7 linked regions of the Coturnix japonica genome follow. The protein of the gene in region 1 interacts with the protein of each later gene in a pairwise test. Links are inferred from orthologs where the notes say so. Each region holds a gene or a part of one and is shown in the gene's direction. Other genes may lie near its edges. The genes, in order: NDEL1, MRC2, CCDC88A, DIXDC1, CCSER1, MIS18A and KALRN.

Region 1 (3,648 bases):
TCAAGAAACAGCATCCCTTCACAATATCTGGCTAGTGTGCGATCTTACAGATTATTAAACTGGAAGGGCAGTGTTGGATCCTAAGATCACAAGATCAGGTCATTAACGTGTTTCCTTAACCTCCCATCTGAATGCAGTTAGCAGGCATTCGTGACTGGCTGCATTTTTCTGCAACACACTTTCCATGGAACTCAAACTACAAGTAGGGAGGAATGCTGAGGCCAGGTCACCTGCCTCACTTTCTGGGTGTACACAGCTCTCTGGGCCAGTAGAATGTGGCTCTCTTTCCATCTGGCAGTGATGGTATTTAAGATAGAGTCTTTTGCTGCTGCAGAGAGCCAGCAACAGTGAATCACTGATTATTGCCAAGTATTCTCTTCTATATAAATGAACAGAATGCTGGAGAAGTCTGTCACTAATCCAATGTGTGTTTTATCTTGCACACTCAGACCTGCGGCAGGAGCTGGCAGTACGGGAAAGGCAGCAGGAAGTCACCCGCAAGTCTGCGCCGAGCTCTCCAACTCTAGACTGTGAAAAGATGGATTCAGCTGTCCAGGCTTCTCTCTCCTTGCCAGCTACACCTGTTGGAAAAGGATCTGAAAATAGTTTTCCTTCCCCAAAAGGTACAACTCCTGCAAACTGTGCCTGGTTGGTTGGGAGTACGTTCTGCTTGCCCAAAAATTACTAACAAGGGCCTGGTCTGAATCTGACTTGAAGTAAATACAGGGTACATGTGGATCCCTACATAGCATGTGCTGGAATACTGGAGCAGTGTCAGACCTGTTTAATGAGTATAATTAGTTAATACTATGGAAAAGAAAGAGTGAAGCTTAGCTACTGCTTTGTAGGGGGTGAGGATTGCACTCCGCAGTAGAGGACTGCAGTAGAATTTATTTGGGGTTGCAGAGAAATGCTGTGACTAATATTTCACTGGTGGGTAAATAGTGGGTAGCAGTGCTGACAGTCTGGGCTGTCTTTGTTACCATGTGCTTTCGGGGGTGCTGTTCTCTCAGGAAGCTGTGGGATATTAGCCTAGTCCTCTTCCCATCTGGAAGGCTCAGGTCAATCGCAAGGATTAAAACATTTATTTATTTATTTTAAATTAAAGTAGATTCCAGAGAAAGCTCTGGTTGGATTAGATAGATTGCAGGCAGTAGCTATGCAGATGGAGGGTGCATGAACTCTGCCTGGGTACCTAATGGGGAGGAGGGTATTGGGCAGGAATTAAGCTTTTTCTTCTCTCTATGGCCAGTGATTGTGCAGCCTGTGTTACTGTTGGTGCAAAGAGTCTGCAGTAAGATTTTAGATTTATCTCCATGTAAAAGTGATTAAAAATATACATTTAACAGTGGAGGAGTGACGTGTATAACAAAGTGTGTTTGTTTGCAGCTATACCAAATGGATTTGGTACAAGCCCTCTTACTCCTTCAGCTAGAATATCTGCACTCAACATCGTGGGAGATCTCTTACGGAAAGTGGGGGTGAGTGCTCTGTACTGAACTATCCCCAGTTCTGAACACACAGTGGTGTGTTCATCCACATATGGGATGAAAAGGCCTTGGCTTGTGCTGAATTAGTTTGTAAGGTGTCTCTCTTATTTAAGAGAGTCCACATTTGGTGTTTGGGATGTGATAACGCTTGTTTTTTAATAATCTTGATTGATGGAGCAGGTTGCTACGGTTCTGATGCCAACTTGTAGAGATAAAATCCTTATTTAGTGTAAAGACTTTTTTTGGTGCACGTTAGCAGATGCTTGTTCATATTTCACATGAAAGCAGGACTCAGAGCTGAGCCTCAGCCTTAGTACTCACTGCACAGTTGTGTTATATCATGGAAGGTGAGCTGATATCAGACCGCTGGAGTCTCTGAGGAGGTCTGCAGAGGTTACTGAGAACTTAAATGAGTTGTTTACATAAAGTAAAACAGCCCTTTGGTAAGAAAGTGAAAAAAGAAATCAGGGGAAAGCCAAGTGTTCCCATCTGTAGTTGATTGGGAAGTGAAATGTGTGAGCCTCTAAAGGGATTACAACTGTGAGCAGGGAAGAAGCGGTTTCGACATCTGTTGCAGTGTTGCTTAGCATGGCAAGCTTTCCAGCTGAATGAAGACATGAGTTATGAGAAGCTTGTTTACTTGCCTCCTTGGGTAGTGTTTGGAAGCATGGGCAGCCTTGGTGTCTAGCCTCCAGGGCTGGCTTTCCTCTATCCTGTGTGGTTAGCACTGAGAACAGAAATAGCTGACGTGAATATGGTTGTTTTAGCCAAATTTGACATTAAAAATCAGATCATTGCTTGTATTTGGAGCTGGTGAGCTCATCGAGGCTGGGTTGAAAGGGCAGCAGGACGGCTCAGGGTTACAGAGTGGCATGTTTAAAATGGGATCATTGTGAGTAAGAGTCTGTAGGGGATTTAGGGAGCTTAATGACATCCCATGTGATTGCTCTGTGAGGACAGGAAATGCCAAATAAGCATGCTTCTTTCCCAGCCTATTCTTAAACACACGCAGCCAGTAATGCAAAATTCCAGCTCATGCATTTATTTAGTAATAATTATAGGATGTGCAGGATTTCTCTGGGTTGCCTTACCTGTAGGATGCCTTGTCTTGTGCTTTGGGCTCCCTTTCTCTCCAAGATGTTCCCTTCAGCTTTCTGGCTGGCATGTGAGACAGCGAGCTACATGGCACAGCTCAAACCACAGGAGAGAATTGGGGTTTTGGTGTCCACCCTGCTAGGAGTCAGTGGATGAGGCAAGTCTCCTACCTTGTATAGGAGAAAAAGAACTGGTCGGGCTTGCTGGATGTAGTAGAAACGAAGTAGAAACCTTGGAGACAGGCTTAGCTGTCTTTGTTTCCCTCTTATGCTGTGTCTGTAGCACCTCTTCTAAAGCTTAGCGGGGTGGATCAGCAGAAGTTACTGAGCATCAGCATCTTATTACGTGGTTCTCATTTGAGAAAACAACAGCTTTGTTCCCATTTAGCTCAGTTTTTGCCAAAGATGATCGCAATGTGGGGTTCTGATCATAGTGATCTCTGGTCATGCTGAAGCTTGAACTGGAGCAGCAAAATATTTTCTCTGAAAGGAAATAAAATCCCTCTTTTCCCTCCTTCCACCTCTTTCCCTTTCACAGGCCTTAGAATCCAAATTAGCTGCTTGCAGGAATTTTGCAAAGGACCAGGCATCACGGAAATCCTACATTTCAGGGAATGCTAACAGCAGCATGATGAACAGCAATGGCACCAAGTACCCTCATCCAGGGCATACTTCTTTCTTTGACAAAGGGTAAGTAGGTATGTGTTTGTACACTGAGGGTGGTGGTGGGGGTGGTGTTTGGTGTTTTAGGATGCTGTGTGAAGCAGAAGTTTTCCTTGGCTTGCTTTTAGCCCACCACAGCTTTGTATCCAGTAAGACAAATAATCTGTGGAGCCAGGTTCTCAAGGGGACAGAGAAGCAGCATTCCACTGCGAGCTTCTGTAAAGCAAAGAGGAAAACAAGTGTTTGACCTCTCAGCTGGTGGGATGTCATTGCCTGTGCTGCCCCTCTGCTGCCTCAGCTCTTGGTGGCTGCATAAACCTTCTGGTGCAGTGATTCATGCCCTTCAGAAGGTTCTCATGCAGACAGTGGTGGGGTTGCCATAGTTGTTGGTGCATTTGTGT
Region 2 (3,648 bases), on another chromosome or scaffold:
TCCACCTTGAAGTAGGGCTGTCCAGCTCAGGGAGTTGGAGACACCATCCCTGGGGATGTTCAAGAAGCATTCAGATGTTGTACTGAGGGATGTAGTGTAGTGGGAAATATTGGTGGTAGGTGGATGGTTGGACTTGGGACATCGTGGAAGCCATTTCCAACCTTGGTGATTCTGTCATAAGGAAGGGTTGGCCAGCTCAAAGTAGGGTTGGCCATGTTAACGGAGGGTTGGCCAGCTCAGTGAGGTGGAGTTGCTGCCCCTGGAGGTGTTCAGGAGACGTTCAGATGTTGTACTGAGGAACATGGTGTAGAGGGAAATACTGGTGACAGGTCTGGGTGATCTTGGAGGTCTTTCCCAGCCTTGTTGGTTCTATGATCTATGATGCCAGGCCAACCACTGGCAGCACTTTAACCCTTTCTTTCTCCACACTTCTTCTCCTCTCACAACCCAGACTCCAAAGTCTTCCTCATCTACAACGTGGGTGCACAGGGCTGCCTGGAGACGAAGGACTCTCTGGTGCGGCTTGCCAAGGGCTGCAATGCCAGCTCCCCAGCCCACCAGTGGAAATGGGTCTCACGCAACCGCCTCTTCAACGTGGGGGCCATGCAGTGCCTGGGGGTGTCATGGCATGGGGGCAATGCCACCTCTGGCCTGCACCCTTTGGCCACCTATGAGTGCGATCGTGAGTCCATCAACATGCGCTGGAGCTGCCGTGGTCTTGGGGAGCAGCTCTCACAGCACCTCGGAGCCCGACCGAACAACACCTCGCTGGATAGGGGTGACCAGGCACGCAGCTCTCAGTGGAGGACATACGGAACTGAGGAGGATCTGTGCTCTGTGCCCTACTCTGGTAAGGCTTTGTCACTTGCCGGGCTCGCCATCTGCTTCCTATAATGCTACATAGCATCGCAGCATGGTTGGGTTGGAAGGGACCCCAAGGACCCCACAAGTCCCACCCCTTGCTGTGGGCTGGTTGCCCCCCACTGGATCAGGCCTCGGGGCTGGATGCAGTATTCCAAATGGGGCTTCCCTTCTCTTTGTGTTCTTTGCCATTCTTAATAATTCTGTGGTTCTGTATTGGCACAGCAGTACAGTCACCATCCCTGGAGTGGTACTGAGGGACTTGATTTAGTGGGCATGGGAGGGGAGGTTGGTGGTTGGGCTTAGAGATCTTTCCCAACCTTAATGATTCTGTGATTCTCTTTGTCCTCATTGCCTTGATGCCTTGCAGACACCCAGGAGCCATTAACAGTAGTGATAGCCCTTAGGCCAAAGCAGTCCCAAGCTAAACACCATGCAGCTCTCTGCCCCAACCCTGCAGTGGTATGGGGAGAAAAATAAAGTGTTAGAAGTCGTGAGTTGAGATAAGGGCAGCTTCGTAAGGAGGAAAAAATTGGGAAAGAAAAAGAAAAAAATCAACAGTAGCCAAAAGAATAAACAGAACAAGCAATGCACAAGGCAATTGCTCACCACCAGCCAGCTGATGCTCAGCCAGTTCCCACAGCCCCCCCCTTCCAGCTCCTCCAGTTTTATCATTCCACATGACATCGTATGGTCTGGGATGTCCCTGTGGCCAATGTGGGTCAGCTGTCCTTGTTCTGTGCCCTCCCAGCTCCCCCCTGGCAGGGCAGTGTGAGGAGCTGAAATGTCCTTGACTCAGTGTAAGTGCTGTTGAGCAACAAGTAGAACATGGCTGTGTTATCAACATTATTTTCATCCTAAATCCAAAACACAGCTTGTAAGGAGAAAATCAACTATCCCAGACAAAGCCAGGACATCCAGGCACCCTCTGGACCCCAAACCAGGAGAAACCTCAACCTCAGCTCCCCCTTGCTGCAGTCTTATGGGGGGACCCTCTTCTCTTGCAGAGATCTATACCATCCAGGGCAACTCACATGGGAAGCCCTGCACCATCCCCTTCAAGTACGACAACCAATGGTTCCATGAGTGCACCAGCACAGGTCGGGAGGACGGCCACCTCTGGTGTGCCACCACCCAGGACTACGGCAAGGATGAGCGATGGGGCTTCTGTCCCATAAAGAGTAAGTGTGGGTGGCTTGCCCCATCCCAATGGGATGCAGGGGCATCCTGGTGGATGCTCAGTGCCCGGCTTTGGTGGGATATTGGTTTGGTTTGGGGATTTTTGGAGCTGGGGTGGGATGTGCTGGGTGCCAACTGCTTGTCCCCATAGGCAATGACTGTGAGACCTTTTGGGACAAGGACCATCTCACCAACAGCTGTTACCAGTTCAATTTCCAGTCTACACTGTCCTGGCGGGAGGCTTGGAACAGCTGTGAGCAGCAAGGAGCCAACCTGCTCAGCATCACCGAGATCCATGAGCAGACCTACATCAATGGTGAGGCAGGGTGGCCCTCAGGCAGAACTGGTGACACCAGGGTCAACTGGTTGCACTCTCTGTCCTGGTTGAGTTGGGCTTGGTTTATGGGCTGGGGATGTGCGTGGAGCTGGAGGGCTGATGATGATCCTCTCTCTACCTTGGTCTCAGGGCTGTTGACTGGGTACAGCTCCACGCTGTGGATTGGGCTCAATGACCTGGACATCAATGGGGGCTGGCAATGGTCTGACAACTCGCCACTCAAATACCTCAACTGGGAGAGCGGTGAGCTGGGGGCTGTGTGGGGGGGACAGGGTCAGGGGATGGGCTGTGAGCAGAGGATGTGGCTCTGGGAAGGTGGCAGGAGAAGTGTCCTGGGCTGCCAAGGTGCCCTGATCTGAGCATCCTTGTTTCAAGTGCTGCTGAATACCAGTGATGGGCAGCTCGATGGCCTGATGTGGAGGACACTGGTGGCATTATTTGCCCACTTCCATCTCTAACCCTTAGCTCACTGGGCAGAAGGACCCATTGCAGGGGATGCTCTGGTTGTGCCTGATGTCATCACCCCCAGGGCACTCATGGGATAAATATACCCCTGGAGGAGGTCTGGGGACAACCACTGACTGCCACCTGGCATTTCTAGTTCATCCAATGCTCCAGGTCCTCATGCATCGAGGCACAACAAATAATCCCTACTGTGCCACAAAATCAATCCATCTCTTCCTGGGGCGAGGAGAGCTGTGTCCTGCTAGCCCTGCTCTGTGAGCCCCCAGCAGTCTGTCCCCCTTCCATCCATTTCCAGACCAGCCTGATAACCCCAGCGAGGAGAACTGTGGTGTGATCCGCACTGAGTCTTCTGGGGGGTGGCAGAACCGTGACTGCGGCATTGCCCTCCCCTATGTCTGCAAGAAGAAGCCCAATGCCACCACTGACCCCTTCCTGACAGGTGAGTAGGGGCTGAGCAACCCCAGGTTATGGGTGCAGGTGGGATCCCAGCTTCCCCACCATTCCCCAGCTCTGGTCCCAACTGGCAGCACATGGAGGTGATCAGGGTGCACCAGGGTGGGCATCGACTTGGAAGGCTGCAAAGCAGCACCACCTCAGTGCTCTGTATGCTCACAGGTCAGACATCAGGAGAGGCAGCAGGAGAAATGGGAGATTCCTGGTGCTTCCCCAGATCTCTGGGCTCTGCTATTGCATTGATGATGTACAAACAGAAGAGATTTTATTTTCCTGGAGCTCTAAAGTTACCACTGCTTGCACCTTGCCAATACTTGTGCCTTGCCGTTGGGTGCAAAGCTTTGCCTATAGCT
Region 3 (3,648 bases), on another chromosome or scaffold:
ATTCTTTCCCTCTTTACTTTGTCTTACCTCCCAAATGACAGCTGTCTTTAGGTAAACATTTGTAGATTCAGACCTTGAATCTGAAATACCCGTGTCAGTGAGAACAGAAATTTGTACCATTTCTTGTTCAGTATTCAAAGGGATGCCAGGGATTGAGTCTCTGTTAATAGTCTTTTTCCTTCTTTTTCTATGTAAGTGTATAACTTTCTAGTAATAGAACTTATTTGTAGCTGAATGCATGCTTCAGCTCGCAAAGATGAAATGCTATCAGTTCTACTTTTTCATAAACTGCCTGTTTCTTGTACCTTAGAATCTAGAATTCTCATCCTACTATATAATGTTTTTGGACAGCTTTCTACTTACTAATTCTCTGCCCATTGGTCTTCTGCTCCAGTTCCTGATTAGATCTAATGCTGTTGTCAATTGAGGAGTCTCTTGCAATTCTCTTCAATCTGAGTTATTTTTCAGCAGTTGAGATTAAGAAGGAAAGAGTTTATGGCTGCTTCTATTTTATCCTACAGCTGGCAAAAGCGGGATGTCTTCCAAATTCTGAACACATGTACAGTGACAGCAGCTGAAAACTGATTTGAGTGTAGCCTTCTAAAATCCTATTTTCTAAAAGGTCTAATAATGTATTAGAATATCCTGCACTGACAGTTTCAGGAAATACTGTTATAAAGCAATATATCTTAAATCTGGTCACTTCTCTCCAAAATATGTGATTGTTTCTTTAGGTGCCCTACAATATTATAAATATACCAAAAAAAGAAAACCCCAAAGGCCTCTTCACATGTCAGGAGTGGTAACAGTCTTAAAATAGCAGCAGCTGGGCTGAGTGAGCAATTCACACACTCATGCATCAAATGAGTATGCACCTGCAAAGAACCGTTCTTATCCCTAATGCCTCCTCTATTGGAGCAGGCAGGAAATGGGAATTGATGAAAATCTTGCTCTCCAAATACTTCACATTTGAATTTAGTTGCAGTCCCTGCTGGATTTGCTGGAGTGCAGCCAGAAAGGAGGGTGCTGTCAGCACACCCGCACACTAATTCTCCCAGTAGTCAGTGCCCTACTGTTGTGGCTGAGTATTGCTTATGTGTATCTGTTGCCCTTGAGCCTGCTGCTTCAGAATGTCGTGAACATTTAAAGAACCTGAAGTAATTGTTGAAATAAAAGCATATATATGGTTTTTTTTGGTGGCATGCTTTTGAATAGGTACAAACTTTTGGAGTCAAAATTGGAATCCACTCTTAAGAAATCTCTTGAGATAAAAGAAGAAAAAATTGCTGCTTTGGAGGCTCGTTTAGAAGAATCAACAAATTTAAACCAGCAGCTCCGTCAGGAACTTAAAACAGTAAGGAGAATGTCTTCTTTTGCGTAAGGTTAAATGAATCATATTCCAGCTACTGTTGTTGTTTCTTACTCTGTGCTTGGTATTTTTGTTTAAGACAGCAAAAAAGATGAGTAACCTTGGGGTAGCCTAAAGCAGGGCAAAGGTGTAATTGCTTTTTAAAGCTACAATAATACAGGTCCAGAATTGAAATCACATGAAAAGAAGTTGAAGATCATTGAATATGTCAGTTAGATAAATATTCTGAGGTCTGTTTGACTTGGGATGCCAAAAAAAGTTAATTCTTGTTAAGTTACTTTTCCTGAACTACTTTGAGCCTGAATGGCTAATCAAAAAAAGAAATAGTCTCTTTGGTTGTTGGACTTCATTATGAAAGCTGAGAGATACAACTGAAAGCTCTAAAATAAAGTCTCCTTTTGGTTTGTAGTCATATTTGTCGGCTTATTATGGTTGAGCTATCAGTATCCATACATCATTTTTGCAGTATCTCATCAAATGTACACAGAAATACAGAGATATAGAGCATTTTTTGTACTCTGGAAAGTGGTACGGTTGTATAATAATATATGATATAGGAAATGGAAAACTGTAAACTGAATGCAAATTGTCCTAAATAATTTCAGGTGAAAAAGAACTATGAAGCTCTCAAACAAAGACAAGAAGAGGAAAGAATGGTTCAGAATCCTCCTCCAAGAAAGGGAGAAGAAAATCAGTCAGTCAATAAGTGGGAGAAAGAAACCCAGGAAACTACTAGAGAGTTACTGAAAGTTAAAGATAGATTAATTGAAGTGGAAAGGAATGTAAGATGTGCTTTTTCTGCTGTTCTCATTTGAAATGTTTGTCTTGAGCTGTTCTAGTAATTTGAATAAGGATATTCTTAAAGAAATGTGCTATTTATCACCTAATTTACAGAATCTGTGTTGTATTTCTTAGCACAGCTGGGTCTTGTGATGCTATAAAGCACTTGACAGGCATTTAAAAGGGGAAAAAAAATGTATATCTGAATTTTTCCCTTTTGAATCCCACAAATCACTCATATAATCTTTATATACACGTCATTGAGAGTTCCTTACTGTTTCTCCATTGGTAAAATAACAGCCATTATTTCAATCTTCAACTGTAGCGATATCATTGTATGTTACTTTTGTAATATAAGGTGATACGGTTTTATTCCACTCTGTAAATATCTGTGAATGTTGTAAATCTCTTCCTTGCTGCCAAAGTACAAAGGATCATAGTAGTGTAAATCACGCTGCTTTATTTGCTTTAGAGGAAGTGCTGTTTCTAAAGTTCCATAAAAACCTGTGAACTCAAAGTTTCTTTTGTGTTGTTGCTCAAAGAATGCTACGCTCCAAGCAGAGAAGCAAGCACTGAAAACACAATTAAAGCAGCTGGAGACACAGAATAACAATCTTCAGGCTCAGATTCTTGCACTTCAGAGGCAGACTGTCTGTCTACAGGAGCAAAACACAACTCTACAGACCCAAAATGCAAAGCTTCAGGTAATATTTTCGTATTTTCTTTTTAAAAATAAATTCAATTCTGAGTTGTTTTTTTTTTTTAAGCTAATGGCAACAATGTAAGTCATGTTTTGATTCTGGTGTACATATGGAAGAGAAAGGAATGTGCAAATAATATGCACTAAGCACAATCAAATGATATTTAGTGATGATGGAGAACAAACTTTCTAGGAGTTGCTTTTATTACCTTGTGTTTCTCCTATTTAAACTTGTGGCTTTATAATCAGGCGTAGAGTAGGTTCTCTTAATCTGCCTTTTAATATATATATATATAATTTAATTTATTATTATTTCTTTTTTAATTCTAAATTAGGTCAAGGAAGTAGATGGTGTGTCCACAGAGACTACTAAGTTATTCTATTTTTATAGCTGGAATTTAAAAATAAATAAATAATCATACCTAAAAGAAAAAGCAAGGTGTTACTTATCAAATACATGGTTTGGGGCTTTTTTTTCCCCTCTGATAAATAAAATACGCTTCTTAATGGATTGAGTATGTTTTGGAGCTCTAAAAATCAAAACTACTTGATGACAAATTTAATATAAAGTCTGCAGTTCAGCACAGATAGATGCCGAAAAGTGATGAAAAGTGGGCAGAAATCAATGAGTGAAGGAATCCTTAGGTGTGTGAACAAATAATGTATTTTGTGAATGCCTTGAGTCATCTTTCTGTCTTCTGCTGTTGCACCCCGGATGCACTTTCCATCTACCACACTGAAATCTAATTAGCGCACAGTGCTCCCCATTGTGGCAGGCAAGAGTGTGTACAAAACAGAG
Region 4 (4,327 bases), on another chromosome or scaffold:
TTTGTTTTTCAAACAAAGTCATCTGCTGACGGAGGACCCTTTCATTCAAGTTTTCCATGAAATGTCATTGAAATTGCAAGGCACAACCTACTTGTCTGCGCTGTACAAAATGGGGAGAAATATTTACTGTCATCTGGTTAATGGTATTATGAGTCATTTTGAGTCTCAAGAGCAAATTGGATCAAGGTGCTAACCACCAGCATTGCCTCCTTGCAAGATTTTTTGCAAGGATTCATGATATTGTATTGTTTTGCTTAACAGATCGGACATAGCAATTAAAGAAAACAAAAGTCTCAGTTCCTACTGAGTTTGGAAAAAATAAATAGGAATCACAAACAGGAATATATTTAAAACTCATGTCACAAGTGGAAAGTGATTCATTTTTTAATTAGTTGTCTTGGTTGTAGAAGGAAATCAGCTGTTATTTGTCTTTCTGTATTTTACCTGCATCTTCCATATCTGATGGAGAAAACACTAGCATGGTAAATTTATGCAGTGACTTTTTCCTCCAGAGCCTTCAATACTTAGGCAGAAAAACATGTTTGTTTCTACCCTTAGATATGGTTGGCCAGGTATTCAAAACTGTGAAGGCACAGTGTATTGCTGGGCAGGGTTTGATGTGCTGCCCATGAGGACTGGCAGGCAGCCCCTGGCAGGAGGTTCTCCATGGGTTCTTTCTTTTTTCAGGGCACTTCTTCTAATGTGAGATGAAGTTTGGGAGATTGCCTGAAGATATTTAATACGTTTTTGTTTTGTTTTGTTTTGTTTTTTTCTGGAATGAACGTTGTTACTGTTGATTTAGAAACATTGCTGGGGATTGTATTTCATTCTAATTTAAAGTTTTCTTCCTTATTTCTTCTTTCATCTTCATTTGCACAGCAGCTAGAGTGGAGGTCAGCACTGTGCAGATGCTATTTGCTGTGTTGTGGCCTCTTCTGCAGCTTCCTGTCTCTACAGGGTTGCTAAAAATGGTGCCATTTCTTCGGGGCTGTGGAGTTTAAGTTGGCCAGCTCTTACAGTCTTTTGCTTTCTAGCTAAGCAAGACATCCGCTATTTGCTGACTCGCTCCCTGCCCCCACTCCAGACAGGGCTGTCTGTGTTTGGTGGGTTTGAAAACCTCTTTTCCGCAGCAGGTTTCATGTGAGTACAACTGCTGGAAATAGGTTTCAGATGTTTCCCTAACTCAGCGTTTGGGCTGCATCTCGTAAGCTGAGGCGTTTCTATAGGAACCGTATGACATCTCTCCACTGCTCCCCCAGCAGCTCTCTCGTGAGCATGCCCAGTGCAAGCCTTGACTTCGGCTCAACTATCTGCGTGCACTAACGGGCTGCACATATGGGATATGAATGCGGTTCCTGATGAGCTCCAACTCTTTGTCTTTGGGAGGAGGAGGAAGAGGCTGTGCCCAGAGCTGGAGGATCTGCCAAACGCCCTCTGAGACCCTCACCCCTCAGTGGGCTCGAGGAGAATGCTTGCCTGTTTGGCCAGGGGGAATTTACTGGATATTCTGCAGGAGGGCTTCACAGAGGTAAATGCATGCATCCAAATCGCATGTGAGCTTTTCCAGGGTGAGGCATTGTGCTTTTCTGCAGCGTTTCTTAGGAACCGATGTGTCTCCTAGTGTTTTGTGGAGAAGAAAAGGAGAAAAATGAGCAAGATTTTGTGGCCAGGGAGCAGGGAGAGCTGTTTACTAACAGGAGGCAATATGGGGCAGCTCCACGGGGGGGGCTGCAAACCAGTAGTTCTAAAAAGTTTGTGGCTGGATTACAGCTGATGATTTTAACTTGGAATTTTTATTTTCTCTATATAGCTTTTACATTTGTACAAGAAAATAATATAAATTGCGACGAGTTATGGAGAATGGCTTATTTTATGGAATGGATTCCTTTCTTGAGTACGTGAGGTCTGTGTATCTGATGGCTGTTAGAAAGCCTGTAAACACACAGCTTTTGGGAGAAGCTGACAATGAGCATGGTGTCTTTTTGTTTCCCATCGTCTTCAGTAGGTTGAATTTCAGAGGGATCAAAATTCACCTGGCTCTCGAAAATGCTGCTTTTAAAGTGCTCTTTTTTTCATTATTGTAGCATTGGGGGGACAGATAAATCAGACGGAGTGAGAACTAACAAGAAATTCCAGAGCTGGGAATCCTGTGACTGCAGCGGGAAGGCAGGTCACTGTTGAATTCCCAGTTCAGGGAGCACAAGAAGTTGGTTTGGTTGGACTCTGTGTGCACTCAGTACAGAATGCCTGGGTAGCTGCTACCTGGCTGCACTCCTTATGCAGACTGTGCTGGAGCACCATTAGCTGCCAGTAGGCTGAGGAGGAAGGACTATTGTGAGGGCTCACGATGAAAGCAAACAGTGGCTGCTTTGTCCATTCTCACATGGTGGCAGGGATGGTCTCTTGGTGTGTTTTTATTATTTTATGTTTTGTTTGTGTTTCCTGGTTCTTTTCATCCCTTCATGGCCCAGACACCACCTGTCTGTTCCACTCCCATGCTCCATTCTTTGCAGAAAACACACATCCATCCTGGACTTAACACCACCGGTCATTAAGGGGAAAGCAAACTGGGTATGAAGTGTGAGCCTCACAGCTTCATGCCAGCCACAGGTCTCCTCTGATTGCTTTGACTGACCGTATAAATACTCCGTCCCCTCCACCACAGAGTATCTCAGTCTTGCTTTTAGCTAGTAGCGTAGCTAGTAGCTTTAGTTTAAGCTGTGGAGGCTTCCTGTTCTCGAGAGCAGCTGATCTTTCCCTGGTGTAAGCTAATTGTAATCTGTATATTAATAAGAGCAAAGAACAACTTTATGTTCAGTGCTAGTTCCACTCAGAGCATCTGGTTTTACCCTTAGGCTGCTCAGCTGTGGAAAAAAGTCCTTCTACCCCCATAAAAACTGACCTTCACTCTCCTGTCAGACTTCATTTCACACAATGAACTGAGGTATTGCAGGAACTGCTTTGCTAACCCAGGGCCTGCTGTTCTTTTGATAGAGCATCCTTTCTGCCCAGGTGACTCTTGGTGACTAGATACCTTGGAATACAAGGATGTACTTTCCAAATCTGCGCAGAGGAGATTAACATAAACGAGTGTCATACTTCTTAAGCAGTGATTTTCAAGAGGAAAAAAAAAAAGAAAAGCATCTTCTGCTGGCTTTGAGAGAAACATTGTTTTCTTTGCATTAAAGTTTTTATAGTCTGCTTCTACAAAGGCCTCCCACACAAAAGCAAAAGAAACCTCAAACTTGAGGGGCACAGGGTGGCAAATTACAGAGCTTATTTAATTAAGGTAATAATGTCAGAAAGCATAGAAATTACACAAGGCCTTAAAATTACATCCTGATGCAATTAGTCTGTTCTTTGAACTCTGTTGTTGCTGACTTTTGGTTCAGTGCTCTAAACAGACAGGACACTAAACACCTTTCGTACTGAGACCATACTTGTAGCACAAGGCCTATTATTTTTGACCTTGTTAGAGCTGGTGTTTGGGTAACATCCACCAGGCTATGAAGAAAAAAACAGAGTGAAGATTACAAGGCAGAGTCCCTAAATCCAACAATAAGAATAGATTCGTTTTCATCAACTGTGTGTGTGCAGAAAAGATGAATTCTCTTCTAGAACTTGGGAGTCTAACATGACAGCAAGGATGTCAGGCCCTTTAAAAGCACCTACCAACTACAGAATGACTTTGCCAAGAAATATGTGGACAGCTTCAAAAACTGCAATCCCCTAATCTCAGAGGAGGTGAAAATTTAACGTGATACAGTGCCACATAGATGGCACTGAAAGTAAAAGACAGAGTAGCATATCAAAGCACCCTGATCTACCTATATTTACTGTAGTGCAGACTGTGCTGATGCATGGTTGAAAGAAACATGAGCCCTAAGCAGCAGGTGGTGAATTGCGCTGCTTAAATGAGAACAGCATAGAGATCTAGAACTGGCAGATTTGAAGCAGAATTGCTACTTTTCTTACACCTGTGGAAAATGTCAGGTAATGGCTTTTAATTATAATTATCTGTAGGGGCTCACAGAACATGAGATAAAGTGCTGACCCTGAAGACACCATTATCATGGGCTGTGGAGAGAAAGCACGAAGTTGCTCCTCAGAAGAATGCTTTCCAATAGGCGGGAGGTCCAAGACCCTTCTTCAGAGTATGTGCTAGTAAAATGCTGTAAAATGAAATCCTGCACTGCAAAGTGTATTTACTAAAGAACCTGTAATTTGCTAACAAAAGTACCTTTATGTTGTTGAACTCCTTACAACTGCAGATGGCCCTTAGTGCCCAGCTTTCAAATCCTCTTCCTCGGTGAAAATTCTGTTAGGG
Region 5 (4,417 bases), on another chromosome or scaffold:
GTCACTGGGCTGACCAAAGACTTCCTAGCTGCACTGGGAGCATCAGTTGCAAATGTGTCTGGAAGTGCTGCTTAATCACGTGGTTCACCTTTTGGGGCAGCAGCAGGCAGTAGAGGTAATACAAACGTGTTGGAGAGATGGGGTTAACTATTAGGAGGCTGTGAGTATCTCCTGCTGAATGCAAGGAAAATGAAGGATAAGAGATGGAGTTGAGAAATCATGCAAGGCTCTTGGGAGAACCCTGATTCAGCAAAACCCAGATTTCTCTGCCTTTGGCTTCAAGGCTGTCTAAGCTTCATAAAATGGCTAAGCAGGTATTTCATTTCAATTATAGCAAGTCTTAGAATTCACTGAGACGACTCGTGCATAGAGCTGCCTGCATGCTTGGCTGGATTGTGAACACTCAGTAACACTATTCAGCTACAATGCAGTCTTGTTTGAAATTCCCAAATTATGACTATCAGAATTGTGAATGATGATCACCTACTCGTGAAGTTGTGTCTCATGAGATTTTTGACATTTTTAAATGGGGGTGATGGGTTATGAAAAAACCTGTTTCTGTTCATGTAGCATCACAGTGTGCAGCATACCCCTGCTGTTCCCCTGTGAGCACAGAACACTTGATCTGCTTTAGGTTTATTATCTGGCCCAGGAATAAATGGAAACACCTCTAGGTTTTGTTGTTGCATATCACAGAACAGAGTAGTAAATATGTTTGACTGATTGTCACTTACATATAAAAATGAATGGTTGCTTCTGATGATGCTGTATAAACTATCAAGACAAACATATTATGAAAACTCAATTATATTTCTTAAAGATTAAAATAATAAAATCATTAAGGTTGGGAAAGGCCTTTAAGACTGCCTAGCCCAACCATCAACTCAACACCACCATGTCCACTCAGCTGTGTCCCTCAGGGCCACATTTTCATGCTTTCTGTACAACTCCATCCCCCTGGGCAGCCCATTCCAGTGCCCAACCACTCTTTCTGAGAAGAAGCTTTTCCTAATACCCAGCCTGAACCTCTCCTGGCCCAACTTGAGGCCATTACCTCTTAACCTATCAATAACAGTTCCTCTGTTTTACCACTTCTTTCTGAATGGAACAGGGGCACGAAATGCTGCGTAACTGCTGCCTCGACTCCAGTTTTCCAGGTGCACGATTGCTGTGTTGATGCAGATGAGACCTTCCCTGTCATATGGCTGCTACTTTCTCATTGCTCTTTCCTCGTTCCATTAATCAAGCACCGTGATGCTCCTAGGTGGTGATAGGCAAGCTGCACTGAGAAATAATCCCAACACATGCATCACAGGAGAGGATGAGGAAGTGAAATCAGATTGCCGTGCGGCAGAAAATAAAATCAAACCCTCGAGCAGATGGTGAGCGTCAGTACACCGGGGCAGGGCCGAACTGAGCCTGAAGGGCTCGTGCTTTCCCCTCGAGGCGCATTCCCCTCCGTGCTTCAAGCTGCGGGGGGCACGCAGGGACGCGGCGACCACACGCCCACGCCACGCGCGGGGACAGCCGCCACCCAGCGCCCGCGCACCGCCCCGCGCCGACACACACGCGGAAGCACCGCCCCGGCCCGCCCCCGCCCGCTCGCTCTCTGCCCACACGCCGCCGCTCCGCACACACAGCCCGCAGCCGCAGCGTGACTGCCTGACCCCGGCCGGATTATTCATCCCGCGCCGAGAGGAGACGCAGGAAGCCGCCCGGTGAACCGCGACGCGCAGGCGGGGAGGTGGCGGCGGCCGCGGCGCCGCAGCGGGGTCTCCGGTCCCCGCCGGCTGCCGGAGGAGCCCGGCCAGGTATAGCGCGTCCCCGGCCCTGCCCCGGGCGGTACCGCAGGCCGCGGGGTGCCGTGGGGAGCCGTGCGAGGCTCGGGAGGCGGGTGGGCGTGGGTGCTCCGCGGTGCCAGGTGCGGAGGTGATGCGGAGGATGTCGCCCCGGGGCGGCCCAACCGCTCCGCCGTGCCGAGCCGTGCCGGGTCCGCCGTCTTTCCCCGCTGCCGGGGCGGCTCCCGGCCGGAGGGAGGATCGGCGCTGCCGCAGCCCCCCGCGCCGAGCCCCGGGTGCGCTGGGGATTAGCGAGGGCGGCGGAGCGGGGGGAGGCAGCGGTGCGAACCGCTTTGTGACGGGGCGGGCAGGGCTCGGTGCCCGCAGGTGTCCCCGGGAGGGGCCGGCGGCGTGACTGCGGGTCAGTGGGGACGGCGGGTCCTTTTTCCTCTCGTTCGTTTCGGGCGTTGCGTTTTGCTGTTCGTTTATTGTTATTTACGAAGGGATGTAAGATGAACCCGTGGAGATGGCAGGAAGAGAAGTGCGTTCTGAAACGTGTGCGGCATTGGCGCGGGGCTGGGCTGGGGGCAGGAGCCGAAGGCGCTGCCAGTGTTTTCCAAAAGCACATGGCACGCTCAGAAGGTGGAGCAGATGGTGGTGGTGCTGCCTATTATAGACCGGGTTTGTGGAAATCCCGAGCTTTCTCTGGCTGATTTCTACGCGTTTTCTCCTGGCTGAAGGAGGTGACCTTTCACGTTTCTGTAAGGCAAAGAAAGTTGCGGCAAGTCTTCCTTCTGAAGAGCAAGGCAGGTCTGTTTTTCCACGGAGAAGAGAACCCTCAGAACTGTGCGTCTCCCTCTTGCCTTGGAGACTGATGACAGTAAACGTCTCAGTGTAGAGACTGTAGCGTGCTTTATTTTCTGATTGCACACCTTTATAGCTGAATGCAACTAGAAGGGAGGCTCAACATCTCTTTTTATCCTTTTCTGTGCCAGATGTGTTTTTTCTCTCTGGTATGTATTGCACTTGAAGTGTTAAACTCTCTGGGGGCATGGAGGTGGGGATGTGAGGCGAGGTCTACGAGTTACTTCAAACACTTTTCTGTGCTCACACTTAAGAAGGAGAGAAGGGAACATGTTGTAAAAGCAGCTGATGAATATATAAAAGTGAAATATTAATGAACTGGAAAAGCTGAGATAGTAAGACATTGCTCTTAATCATTTAGGAGAGCTCTTGTATAGCTTCTCGATCTATGAGTCTGTAGTACAAATGCAGTTAATATAAAGGACAACAGGATTTGTATTTGCCTAGCTAGAAGTAATAATAATGCAAAACCCTTTTTTGCATTGGTGATTGTCTCTTGGGGCTTGTTTTACCTTCAGTTTCTGAGACTACTGTAGAACTGTATTATTGCAGAAATAGTAGGAAAAAAAAATGCCTATTTCAAGAATGCTGTCTTAGAGATGGAATGCAAAAGGCTGACTCAGTCCTGAAATTACTCAGAGGATTAGTCTTAGAAAGCCCTCTTGGGGACATGAGGTTGACTTTTCAGTCTAAGGTTGTTGGTCTTCTCTGGTATCTTAAGCAGAGAACAACTCAGGGGAAGGTAATGTGGCTGTCCAGGCTATGTCAAGGTGTGTTGTGTCAACAAGGGATATTTTCTGCGACTTGGAGTTCATTTACTCACTGAAATCAGGAGTGCTATGGTCTCTGCAGTGTTTTGGCCTGTCATCTTAACATGCATTTCCAGCTTTTCAGTTGCTTTGTATTTACATGAGTGTATAGACCTGCTGGGGAACATAGCAGGCAAACAGATCCTCTGCTCTTGTTAAGACTGCCTGGACCTTGGTACTTCAGTACTTGGAAACAGAAAGCAATAGGACAAGCTTTAATTTATGCTGTGTTTGCCTTGTAGTTCAGCTGTCATTTGTTTTCTTAAAAGACTGCCAGGACATTCTTGGTGGTTGTCTTGTGGTTGTGCCATTTATTTATTTGTTTGTTTTTCATTCTTAGAAAGAAGTAGATAGAAATAGAGATATTTTACCAAGCCCCACTGGGAAAGGTTGCAGACAAGATCTGAGCTTAGTTTTCTTACTAATGGCAGCAGATCCATTTTCTGTTAGATGCTGAATTCTTGCAGCAATTTCTCCGGTTGCTTATTTGGAGGATTTAGTTGAGTGGTCTGTCAGTCCACAGAATGCAGTCCTTGGCTGTGCACCTTGTGGGACTTTTTGGAATAGCTTGTGCACATCACCTACTACCTTTGGGAGAGCTTGGTGCAGGCCTGAGCGGAGGGATGGATGTAGAGTCATACAAGATGACCTGAGACAATAGGTAGGTGCATACCATGTGTGGGTCATGTGGAGAGAAAATGTTTGGTACTTAAGTCTGTGAGTCACTTAAAGTGCTGCAAAGGTGAGATCTTGTATCTGTGTGTCTCAGTGTGTGGTTGCATGAAAGCACAGTTGTGCTGCGTAAACTACACACGTACAGTTAACATTTCTCCCGATTCAAACCTAATGCTTCGAATAATATTTGTAGTAGGTGGCTGGACAACGAGCAACTTTACATTTGGGAGTGGTTTGGGTTGCTAGATGAATTGTTTTCTAAATTACAAAAGAGATGTCTTCTTCATCTGG
Region 6 (4,135 bases), on another chromosome or scaffold:
TGGCCATGTCAGTAGTGCATTTTAAATCAGCTTCAACCAAGTACTTTTTTTCATTGTGCTTGAGCGCCCTCAGAAAGAGATTGCTTAACTGATGCCTATGTAAATCACTCTGGAGTCCTGTAGCTCAAGGACTGCCTTGGTACTAACTAATGTTGAGCAAAAATGAATATTAATGCCTGACAGATAAATAGTAGCAGCCTTTAAGCGTAACCCTTGCTTCCTGGTGGGCAGTTACATTATTCCTCAGCATATCAGAGCTGAGATGGATGCCAAGTAAGCTAAGAATGGGATGGACAAGTGCCAGATGTGTCACAAACCCTTCTCTCTGAGAGACAGCTGCAATGAAGTGTTCTCTGGAGCTACTGGAAACAGCCAGCTGGGCTGAAGGAAATCTCTTTCTATTCACATAAAGGAGGGGGCAAGTACCTGACAAAATGCATCATAGACAGAGGATGCAACAAAGCTGATGAAAAGTCTGGAGCATAAAATCATAACAGGGAGTAGCTGAAGGAGCTGGGATTGTTCAGTCTGGAGAACAGGATGTCAGGGGAGACCTCACAGCTCTCTACAACTATCTGAAGAGAAGCTGTGACAAGGTGGGAGACAGCCTCTTCTCCCAGGCAATGGTGATGAGAAGAAATGGCCTCAAGTTGCACCAGGGGAGGTTCAGGTTGGGTGTTAGGAAGGATTTCTTGTCAGCAAGAGCAGTGCTGCAGTGGCACAGGCTGCCCAGGGAGGTGGTGCAGTCACCGTCCCTGGAGGTGTTCAAGAGCCGTGTGGATGTGGCACTGAGGGACGTGGGCAGTGGGCATGGGGGCCACAACGTAGGTAGAGCCAGCTGAAGGCTTGAGGTGTTGGGCCGTGGCAGCATAGCAAGTGGTACCTAAACGTGCTTAACTGAGCTGAGCAGCAAGGACAGCAGGCCCTCAGCTGGCTTTTGGCTGCATCCCTAAAGCCTTCAGTGCGTGTGGTGGCTGGGGAAGCCAGGGCCGCATCCCATAGCGCACAACGCACCAGTTTGGCTAAAAACAACTTTGAAACCAACCAAAGCCACTTTCTCTCTGCCTTCTCAGTGCTACGTCACCCAAACACCTCCTAACACACTCCAGCAGGGGTTATGAAGGCACAGCACTGAGCTAGACCAGCGCTGACACACAACCCCACCTCCTACGTCTACGCTAGTAACGTAACCACGCTGTGGGCAGGGACATGTACTAATCCCCGCCCCTGCTACGCTAGTTGCGTATGTACGCTGTGGGGCGTAGCCACGCACCGAACCCCGCCTCATGGACGCGACGTATTCGGGCTGGTTCCGGTTCCGTCGTGGGCAGTTTGAAGGTGATGGCGGGCTTGTTGTATCCGCTGTCAGGTGGGGCGGTTGCGCTGGATTCGTCTCTGCCTCTGCTCGAGTCGACCATCCCTCGGGAGGCGCTGCCGATGGAGCGACCGCGGGCTAACGGGAAAGGGGAGGAAGAGGAAAACGACGAGAACCTGCCCATGGTGTTCCTGTGCGGCGGCTGCAAGCGGCCTGTGGGAGATACGCTGAGTTGGGTGGCCAACGATGAGGACGCGACGTGTATTCTGCTGCGCAGTGAGTGCTGCTCCCATCTGCCCTCTCCTGCATGACGGCTTTTGGGGGCCCTTGGTCAGTGTTGGCTCTGTGCAGGTGCCTCCAGCAACATCTCAGTGGACAAGGAGCAGAAGCTGTCCAAAAGGCCTGGAGAGTGTGGATGGTGAGCGCTCTTCAAACCACAGTCGATAAAATACATGTGTATGTACTTTTAATAGGCGAAGGGAGGAGTGATTTGCTCTCTTTGTTTTTTTTTAAAGCATGGTTGAAACGTTTTCCTGCTCTGGCTGCTCGAGGGCACTTGGCAGCATCTACAGATGCACCCCAAAGCATCTCGACTACAAGAGGGATTTGTTTTGTTTCAACGTTGGCTCAATTGAAAGGTAAAGACAGAATCTGCATTGCTGTCGGGTTAACCTCACCTTCCAGACACCATATCAAGGGATGCTGCTGCTAACAGTCTGAGCAAGTTCCCTATGGTAGTTAGGTTTTGAGTATCTCTGGAGGAGACTCTACAGCCCCTCTATGCTGTTCATTCTGGTAGTCTGCCACTCTCATGGTAAGAAGCTTTTTCTCATGTTTGTATGGAGCATCCTGTCTTCCAGTTTGTGCATCTTGCCCTCCTGATAGGGCCAGGCTCTTTTCAGTGGTGCCCAACTGCTTGGCTCTGCCCTTTAGATATTTATAAGCTTTAATAAGATCGGTTCCCTCAGAATTCTCTTCTCTAGGCTGAATAGTCTCAGGATCTCAGCCCTTCTGGTCTTAAACTGTTCTTTGATGTTTGAGGATGTTGTTAAGTCTCCACATTAGAGTTCTGTCCGAAGTTTATTTAAAAATCTCAATCTTCAGAGCCATCTTAAAGGTGGAAGATTTTAAGTATCCAGACTAGAGATCTTTTATCCAAGTGTTGTTATAGTACTAGTGATAAGCTACTGTTACTTCCATGTGGGCTAGTTTTACTGTTTCTACTTCTATGTGAAGTTCCAGCCTGTTCTGCTGAACATACATGGGTGTTTTCCTTCCTACTCTGAACAGTCTTTTCTTCTTTACACAGCTAAATACTTTGGTTTTTGATGACAGTAAAAGTCTCTGGAAGACTATGACAGGGCTACAGAGCAGCATTCTCTTGGAGTAGTGATGATGTCTAGTTCTCCCATCTAGTGCTACACTAATCTTAATATCTGAATGACATCTTGGTTGTTTAGAGCTCAAAGCTGTTGAAGTTTTACCGTACAGCTCATTTGCAAGATTGCTAAAAATAGGGTTGTGTTATTGTTGTTGCCAAAATAGTGCTTTGACTGTGCTGGTGCATTAATTGCGATCTTATCAAGAGTGGCGGATGAATCATACAAGTGTTCTTTTGCCTTCAGAATGAAAAGTGCATCATCTAAACTGTAGCATATCAGTTACATTCTAGGATCCTCAGAAAAGCAGGCTGTTACTGATGAGGAACCTTTAACTCTCGAAAGTCGAGTTGCCTTGGAAGAAGCACTAAAAAGGGTAACGCTTAATCTTGCATTGTTTTGATGACATCTATACTTGTTCTTTATATTGTACACCTGTTTCTAACCAGGTCTTTCCCCATTTACTTCACAGGCAAACACCATACTAAATGCTCTGGAGGCAAGGCTGGCTACTGTTGAATCAAGAATCGATTCTCTTCACAGTAATGCTTGAAAGAAAATCCTGCGTGTAAAATAACTGCTGGAGATTGATGTGTGTGAAACTGGGATCTGTGGGAATATTTTAAAAGCTGCTCGAAGATCTGAAAGATGTGGGCAGTAGGACAATGCCAGCTACTGAGTCTTTGTCACAGATGAGGAGTTCCCCTTTTGTCTTGAGAGAATACCCTGGGAAGAAAAAGACTTCTAAAAAACATTTCAGTCAATTTGTTGTTTATATAGAAATATTTATTTTTTTTTACCTTGGAAAGCAAAGGTCTTATCTCCTGGTTGTCCTGTATTTTAATATCTGCTGAACTGAAGGCTTCAAATGCATCAGCTACTATGGCTTCCTGTGCAGTACTGAGAGTCACGCGTGTAACAGCCTCAAAGAGGAGAAGAAACAAGGCTACTAGCAGCACACCTTTTAATCAAAGTTAGGTGCATATTTGAACAAAGAATTCAGTGCTGCTTAAGAAACTTCTGTCAATATTTCATTGTTAACATGTAGATCTTACTGTTATGGTTTTCTGTATGTATGTCTTCCTAGCATTGTGTTGTTTTTTTTTTAATCCCCAATAAATCAAAGTAAGTGGTAATCGTGTAAGGGAAAAATCTGATTTCTGTTTATTTACATACCATTGCCCGATGCTACTTAATTGCATCACTGCTAATTTTTAAGTAGTCTCCAGAAACTTGGAATGAATTTTCCCACTGTTCTTCCTACTGGTAACTACCATTTCTCTTGAGAGCTCTCTTATTTTTCACTCTCTCTTCTCTCTTTTTTTATCTACCATTTCGTTTTAAAGTAGCACGCAGTTTGGCACATTGCAGTTGTCTTGTAGTCTTTCCTGTTCAGGCAACTCAAACACTGTTATGTTTATGCCTGCTGAGGTATTCTAAG
Region 7 (3,648 bases), on another chromosome or scaffold:
TCTCCTTTCCTCCCTCTGCACAACGCAGGCTCGCAGGTCTGGCAGCAGTCAGTGGCCTCCACGCTGGACACTTACCTTGTCATTGAAGACCTGTCCCCAGGCTGCCAGTATCAGTTCCGTGTGAGTGCCAGCAACCCCTGGGGGATCAGCTTGCCCAGTGACCCATCTGAATTTGTCAGGCTTCCAGAGTACGGTGAGTGGCCTCCCAGTTGCACACAGATGTGCCCTGGGACTGTCCCTGTGGTCCATTTTCAGCCCCAGAAAATTACAAGGCCAAATTTAAAGTCAACTTAAAGCCACAGCTTCCCCTGGGAAGTTCTGGTTTTTGGTGGTCAAACACAATGGAGAATCACATCACATCATAGAATCACAGAATGGTTGGGTTGGAGGGGACCTTAAAGACCACTGGTCAGTCCCCAACCCCCCCCCAAATGGCCTTGAGCACCTCCAGGGCTCTCTGAGCAACCTATTAACATATCTTCACATAACTTTTAAATGTGCAGTTTATGGTACAAAGCAGTCTGCCGTGTCTTTACACTTTCTTCAATGTGCTTTTCTTCTCCCAAAGACTCTGCTGCTGATGGTGCCACAGTTTCGTGGAAGGAAAACTTTGATCTTGCTTACGCGGAGCTGCATGAGATTGGGAGGTAATATTAACCCTGCTTATCACTGCAGCGAAATACCACAACAATGGCTTGAGGCTTGTTCTTTAACGGGGAATTTAGGTCGCTTTTTGTAGTAAGCTTGAAAATTGCTGCTCCTTTTAGAAAGAACACACTAAGCACTGATTGAAATACAGACTGGTTAAAATGCTGACTACATCTTGTCTCCCAAAACCAGTTGTGATTTGAGCATTACATCTGGAACATGGATGACTGAACTCCAGCCTCTGAATGACAGGGCAGCCAGATCCAGCAGTGCCTTCTGGTATCTGCTTTGACATCCCTGGCTCAATGTGAGCTTTTGAAGTCATGTTGGCTTGCTGGTGCTGGGTGTGCTTAACCTTGGAGGCTGTTTGCAGAAGTACTTGGGCATGTGACAGACTAAAAGCACATTCCAATGGGCTATGCTGAGTGGGGCAGTCAGTGAGCAAGAGCTGCATGGTGCTGATAAGGGACATGCAAACAGTGCGGGTTAAGGCAGCCACATCTACACCCAGAGATTGGGGATAAGTGCTTCTGGGGCTGCAAGACCGGCAAAGAATAGTGATATCTTAAAAATGGGCCAAGTGCAGCTTGTGGCTTTGTTAAGTACTCTTGCTTCCAGGAATGGTACCAAGCACCAGTCTGGATGATATTCCTAAGTGCTTTGTGTCAGCTGCTTGCTCCCTATTTTTCACTGTATGCCTGAATCAGCAAGAGAAAATGATTGCTTAGCCATTGCTTAACAAGGCTTTTCTCTTAGTTGTCTTAAGTCTGGGTTCATTATTCAAACAACTGGAGAGAAGAGATCCATGGTTAGGAATAAAAAGTCAGAACCTGTTAAAAAGGCAGCAAATTGAACCCAAGGGGTGTTGTTAGAGGACATCAGCAGGGCTGTACAAAGTGCTCTGTTTGCTCTCCGTGTTTACTAATCCCCAAGGAATCCAAACACCCAGGGTGAGAGACAGCAATTCAGTGTTGGAAAAGGTTATGAACAACGAGATAAGTCTGATTCCTTGTGAAATGTTAATGCACTGAATCAAATAACACTTTGAAAACCAGTCTGCTATCGCACTGAAAAAACGGGCATGATTTATTCATGGATCCCATTCATTATTCTGCTTTTATTTCTTTCCAGGGGACGATTCTCCATTGTAAAGAAATGTGTTCACAAAGCTACCCGGAAAGACGTTGCTGTAAAGTTCATCAGTAAAAAAATGAAGAAGAAGGAGCAAGCAGCCCACGAGGCAGCTCTGTTACAGCACTTACAGCATCCTCAGTACATCACTATCCACGATACTTACGAGTCTCCTACTTCTTACATCCTAGTTCTGGAGCTGTAAGTACATGGAGCTACAATTCATTCAGCTGGGTGTGAATCACAGCACTATTAAAACCAAGGATAAAATTCACCCATGGTTCATCAGGGCAAAGACTTTGTCATCTGTTTCTTATTGACTTTGATGTCAAAATGTAGGAGCCATTTTATGCTGAATTTCCACTGCCTTTTGTTTACAGCAGATAAGATTCCAGGGGTACAAATAAAACTTTCTATTCTAGAAGCTCAGTAATTGTATCGGCACTTAGTTTGTCACACAGCATCAGGTTTATTTGGGCAGTTTAGTCTGCTCCCTATATCTGAGCAAATGCACTTCAGCTGGATTGGAGCCTACATTGTTCTAATAGTTCTTGATGGAAAAAAAGCTGCATTGGGACTATGTTTGTCCCTATAAGGAGAAATAGCAACTCAAATCCAAACTGCTTCTTTGTGACAGTATATCCAATCAAACATATTTGGGCTCTTTGCTTGTTTATTTATACTGATAAATAAGACTAGGTGGAAAACTCTTATTGAGTTAGGTTTCCCACAGAACACACCACCTGCAGCTGAAATATCAGTGTTTTTTTCCCTGCATTATTCAACCATCTCTATAAATAAATAGATGAACCCAGATAAATAAGTGGATCTGTTTTCAAAGGTATCTCCTCTGTCCATTGAATCTGTCCTTAAGCGACTTAGTGTACTTTGAAATTGTCAAAGTTTGTCACTAGATTTATTAATGGCCGGGGATGACAACTGAGGACTAATCAAGGATCAATCATTCTACCTCGTGATATCATTAAATCCTAATCAAATCTCTCATTTTGATTTCCTCCACTTTTAGGTCACAAAGTTTCCATTGCAGCTTTGTTATCAAATATTAGCTGTTCCTGCAGGTGTCATGTGGTCTTTTCAGGTGTGGGGTTTGATTTCTTTGTAGGATGGATGATGGTCGTCTCCTAGATTATCTTATGAACCATGATGAACTCATGGAGGAAAAAGTAGCTTTCTACATAAGAGACACAATGGAAGCCTTGCAGTATCTTCACAATTGCCGAGTGGCTCATCTAGATATAAAGGTAAGAAAAGAAGAGAATGATGCTATTACTTGGTGTCCTGGTACATAGAGTTCCCAGCTGCACACACAGCAAGGAGGTGAAGTCTGTGCCCCAAGAGGTGATGCTGAATGGACAAGCACCACCCTCCAGATCTGCTGACCAGAGAAAGGACTCAGTAACCTGCAGGGTCTATTTTCTCCTTCAGAGATGCACTATTTCCTTAACTCACTGCTTTGTTCTCAAGGGCTTTCTGGAAGAGGGATTTAATGAGAGAGAAGGGTGAGAGTCAGTAGCTTTTGAGTGAAGGGGAGTTATAAGATACATCCCGAGGGCATGGCTTGGGCTCACAACATGGTAAGTGTGGGGAGAAGGAGAGGGTGGGAGAGCAGGAGGTGGTAAAGGCTGAGAGGGGAAAGCAGCAAACTGCGTGTGCTGCAGAGCCTGAGAGGTGGGAAATGCACCTAGGGAGAGGTTCAGAAGAATATCTGCAGTCTGCAATATTGTTCTCAGTGAGATTAGCACAGCTCGTACCTCCTTTTGTTAGTATATGTGGCAGGAGGCACTGCGATGTCCTGGATTTGGCATTGTGTTGCCATACCCACCAACACTCCATTGATCTGGGAAGACA

What was found.
Region 2: the proteins of NDEL1 (region 1) and MRC2 interact in a two-hybrid assay, tested with the Homo sapiens proteins (2 studies listed by BioGRID and IntAct). The link is inferred for Coturnix japonica from reciprocal best matches to the Homo sapiens genes NDEL1 and MRC2.
Region 3: the proteins of NDEL1 (region 1) and CCDC88A interact in a two-hybrid assay, tested with the Homo sapiens proteins (2 studies listed by BioGRID and IntAct). The link is inferred for Coturnix japonica from reciprocal best matches to the Homo sapiens genes NDEL1 and CCDC88A.
Region 4: the proteins of NDEL1 (region 1) and DIXDC1 interact in binary tests that used the Homo sapiens proteins (3 or more experiments, as listed by UniProt). The link is inferred for Coturnix japonica from reciprocal best matches to the Homo sapiens genes NDEL1 and DIXDC1.
Region 5: the proteins of NDEL1 (region 1) and CCSER1 interact in binary tests that used the Homo sapiens proteins (3 or more experiments, as listed by UniProt). The link is inferred for Coturnix japonica from reciprocal best matches to the Homo sapiens genes NDEL1 and CCSER1.
Region 6: the proteins of NDEL1 (region 1) and MIS18A interact in binary tests that used the Homo sapiens proteins (3 or more experiments, as listed by UniProt). The link is inferred for Coturnix japonica from reciprocal best matches to the Homo sapiens genes NDEL1 and MIS18A.
Region 7: the proteins of NDEL1 (region 1) and KALRN interact in a two-hybrid assay, tested with the Homo sapiens proteins (2 studies listed by BioGRID and IntAct). The link is inferred for Coturnix japonica from reciprocal best matches to the Homo sapiens genes NDEL1 and KALRN.

The regions. Positions count from the first base shown.
Region 1 is NC_029533.1:1,504,202-1,507,849, forward strand, and holds part of NDEL1 (nuclear distribution protein nudE-like 1), read left to right. Parts: intron 1-449; coding exon 450-623; intron 624-1,389; coding exon 1,390-1,481; intron 1,482-3,122; coding exon 3,123-3,274; coding exon of another isoform or gene 3,275-3,278; exon of another isoform or gene 3,279-3,282; intron 3,283-3,648. UniProt on the Homo sapiens protein: Required for organization of the cellular microtubule array and microtubule anchoring at the centrosome. May regulate microtubule organization at least in part by targeting the microtubule severing protein KATNA1 to the centrosome.
Region 2 is NC_029542.1:1,913,979-1,917,626, forward strand, and holds part of MRC2 (C-type mannose receptor 2), read left to right. Parts: intron 1-451; coding exon 452-850; intron 851-1,868; coding exon 1,869-2,042; intron 2,043-2,191; coding exon 2,192-2,356; intron 2,357-2,506; coding exon 2,507-2,620; intron 2,621-3,137; coding exon 3,138-3,281; intron 3,282-3,648. UniProt on the Homo sapiens protein: May play a role as endocytotic lectin receptor displaying calcium-dependent lectin activity. Internalizes glycosylated ligands from the extracellular space for release in an endosomal compartment via clathrin-mediated endocytosis.
Region 3 is NC_029518.1:7,440,372-7,444,019, forward strand, and holds part of CCDC88A (girdin), read left to right. Parts: intron 1-1,215; coding exon 1,216-1,354; intron 1,355-1,974; coding exon 1,975-2,151; intron 2,152-2,691; coding exon 2,692-2,853; intron 2,854-3,648. UniProt on the Homo sapiens protein: Bifunctional modulator of guanine nucleotide-binding proteins (G proteins). Acts as a non-receptor guanine nucleotide exchange factor which binds to and activates guanine nucleotide-binding protein G(i) alpha subunits.
Region 4 is NC_029539.1:5,431,102-5,435,428, reverse strand, and holds the start of DIXDC1 (dixin), read left to right. Parts: upstream 1-1,468; coding exon 1,469-1,528; intron 1,529-4,327. UniProt on the Homo sapiens protein: Positive effector of the Wnt signaling pathway; activates WNT3A signaling via DVL2. Regulates JNK activation by AXIN1 and DVL2.
Region 5 is NC_029519.1:31,401,536-31,405,952, forward strand, and holds the start of CCSER1 (serine-rich coiled-coil domain-containing protein 1), read left to right. Parts: upstream 1-1,598; 5' UTR 1,599-1,811; intron 1,812-4,417.
Region 6 is NC_029516.1:94,345,414-94,349,548, reverse strand, and holds MIS18A (protein Mis18-alpha), read left to right. Parts: upstream 1-1,263; 5' UTR 1,264-1,341; coding exon 1,342-1,591; intron 1,592-1,666; coding exon 1,667-1,733; intron 1,734-1,830; coding exon 1,831-1,953; intron 1,954-2,976; coding exon 2,977-3,070; intron 3,071-3,166; coding exon 3,167-3,247; 3' UTR 3,248-3,838; downstream 3,839-4,135. Other genes in the region: MRAP (melanocortin-2 receptor accessory protein), read right to left, coding at 1-7. UniProt on the Homo sapiens protein: Required for recruitment of CENPA to centromeres and normal chromosome segregation during mitosis.
Region 7 is NC_029522.1:19,180,878-19,184,525, reverse strand, and holds part of KALRN (kalirin), read left to right. Parts: intron 1-28; coding exon 29-193; intron 194-568; coding exon 569-647; intron 648-1,779; coding exon 1,780-1,980; intron 1,981-2,902; coding exon 2,903-3,041; intron 3,042-3,648. UniProt on the Homo sapiens protein: Promotes the exchange of GDP by GTP. Activates specific Rho GTPase family members, thereby inducing various signaling mechanisms that regulate neuronal shape, growth, and plasticity, through their effects on the actin cytoskeleton.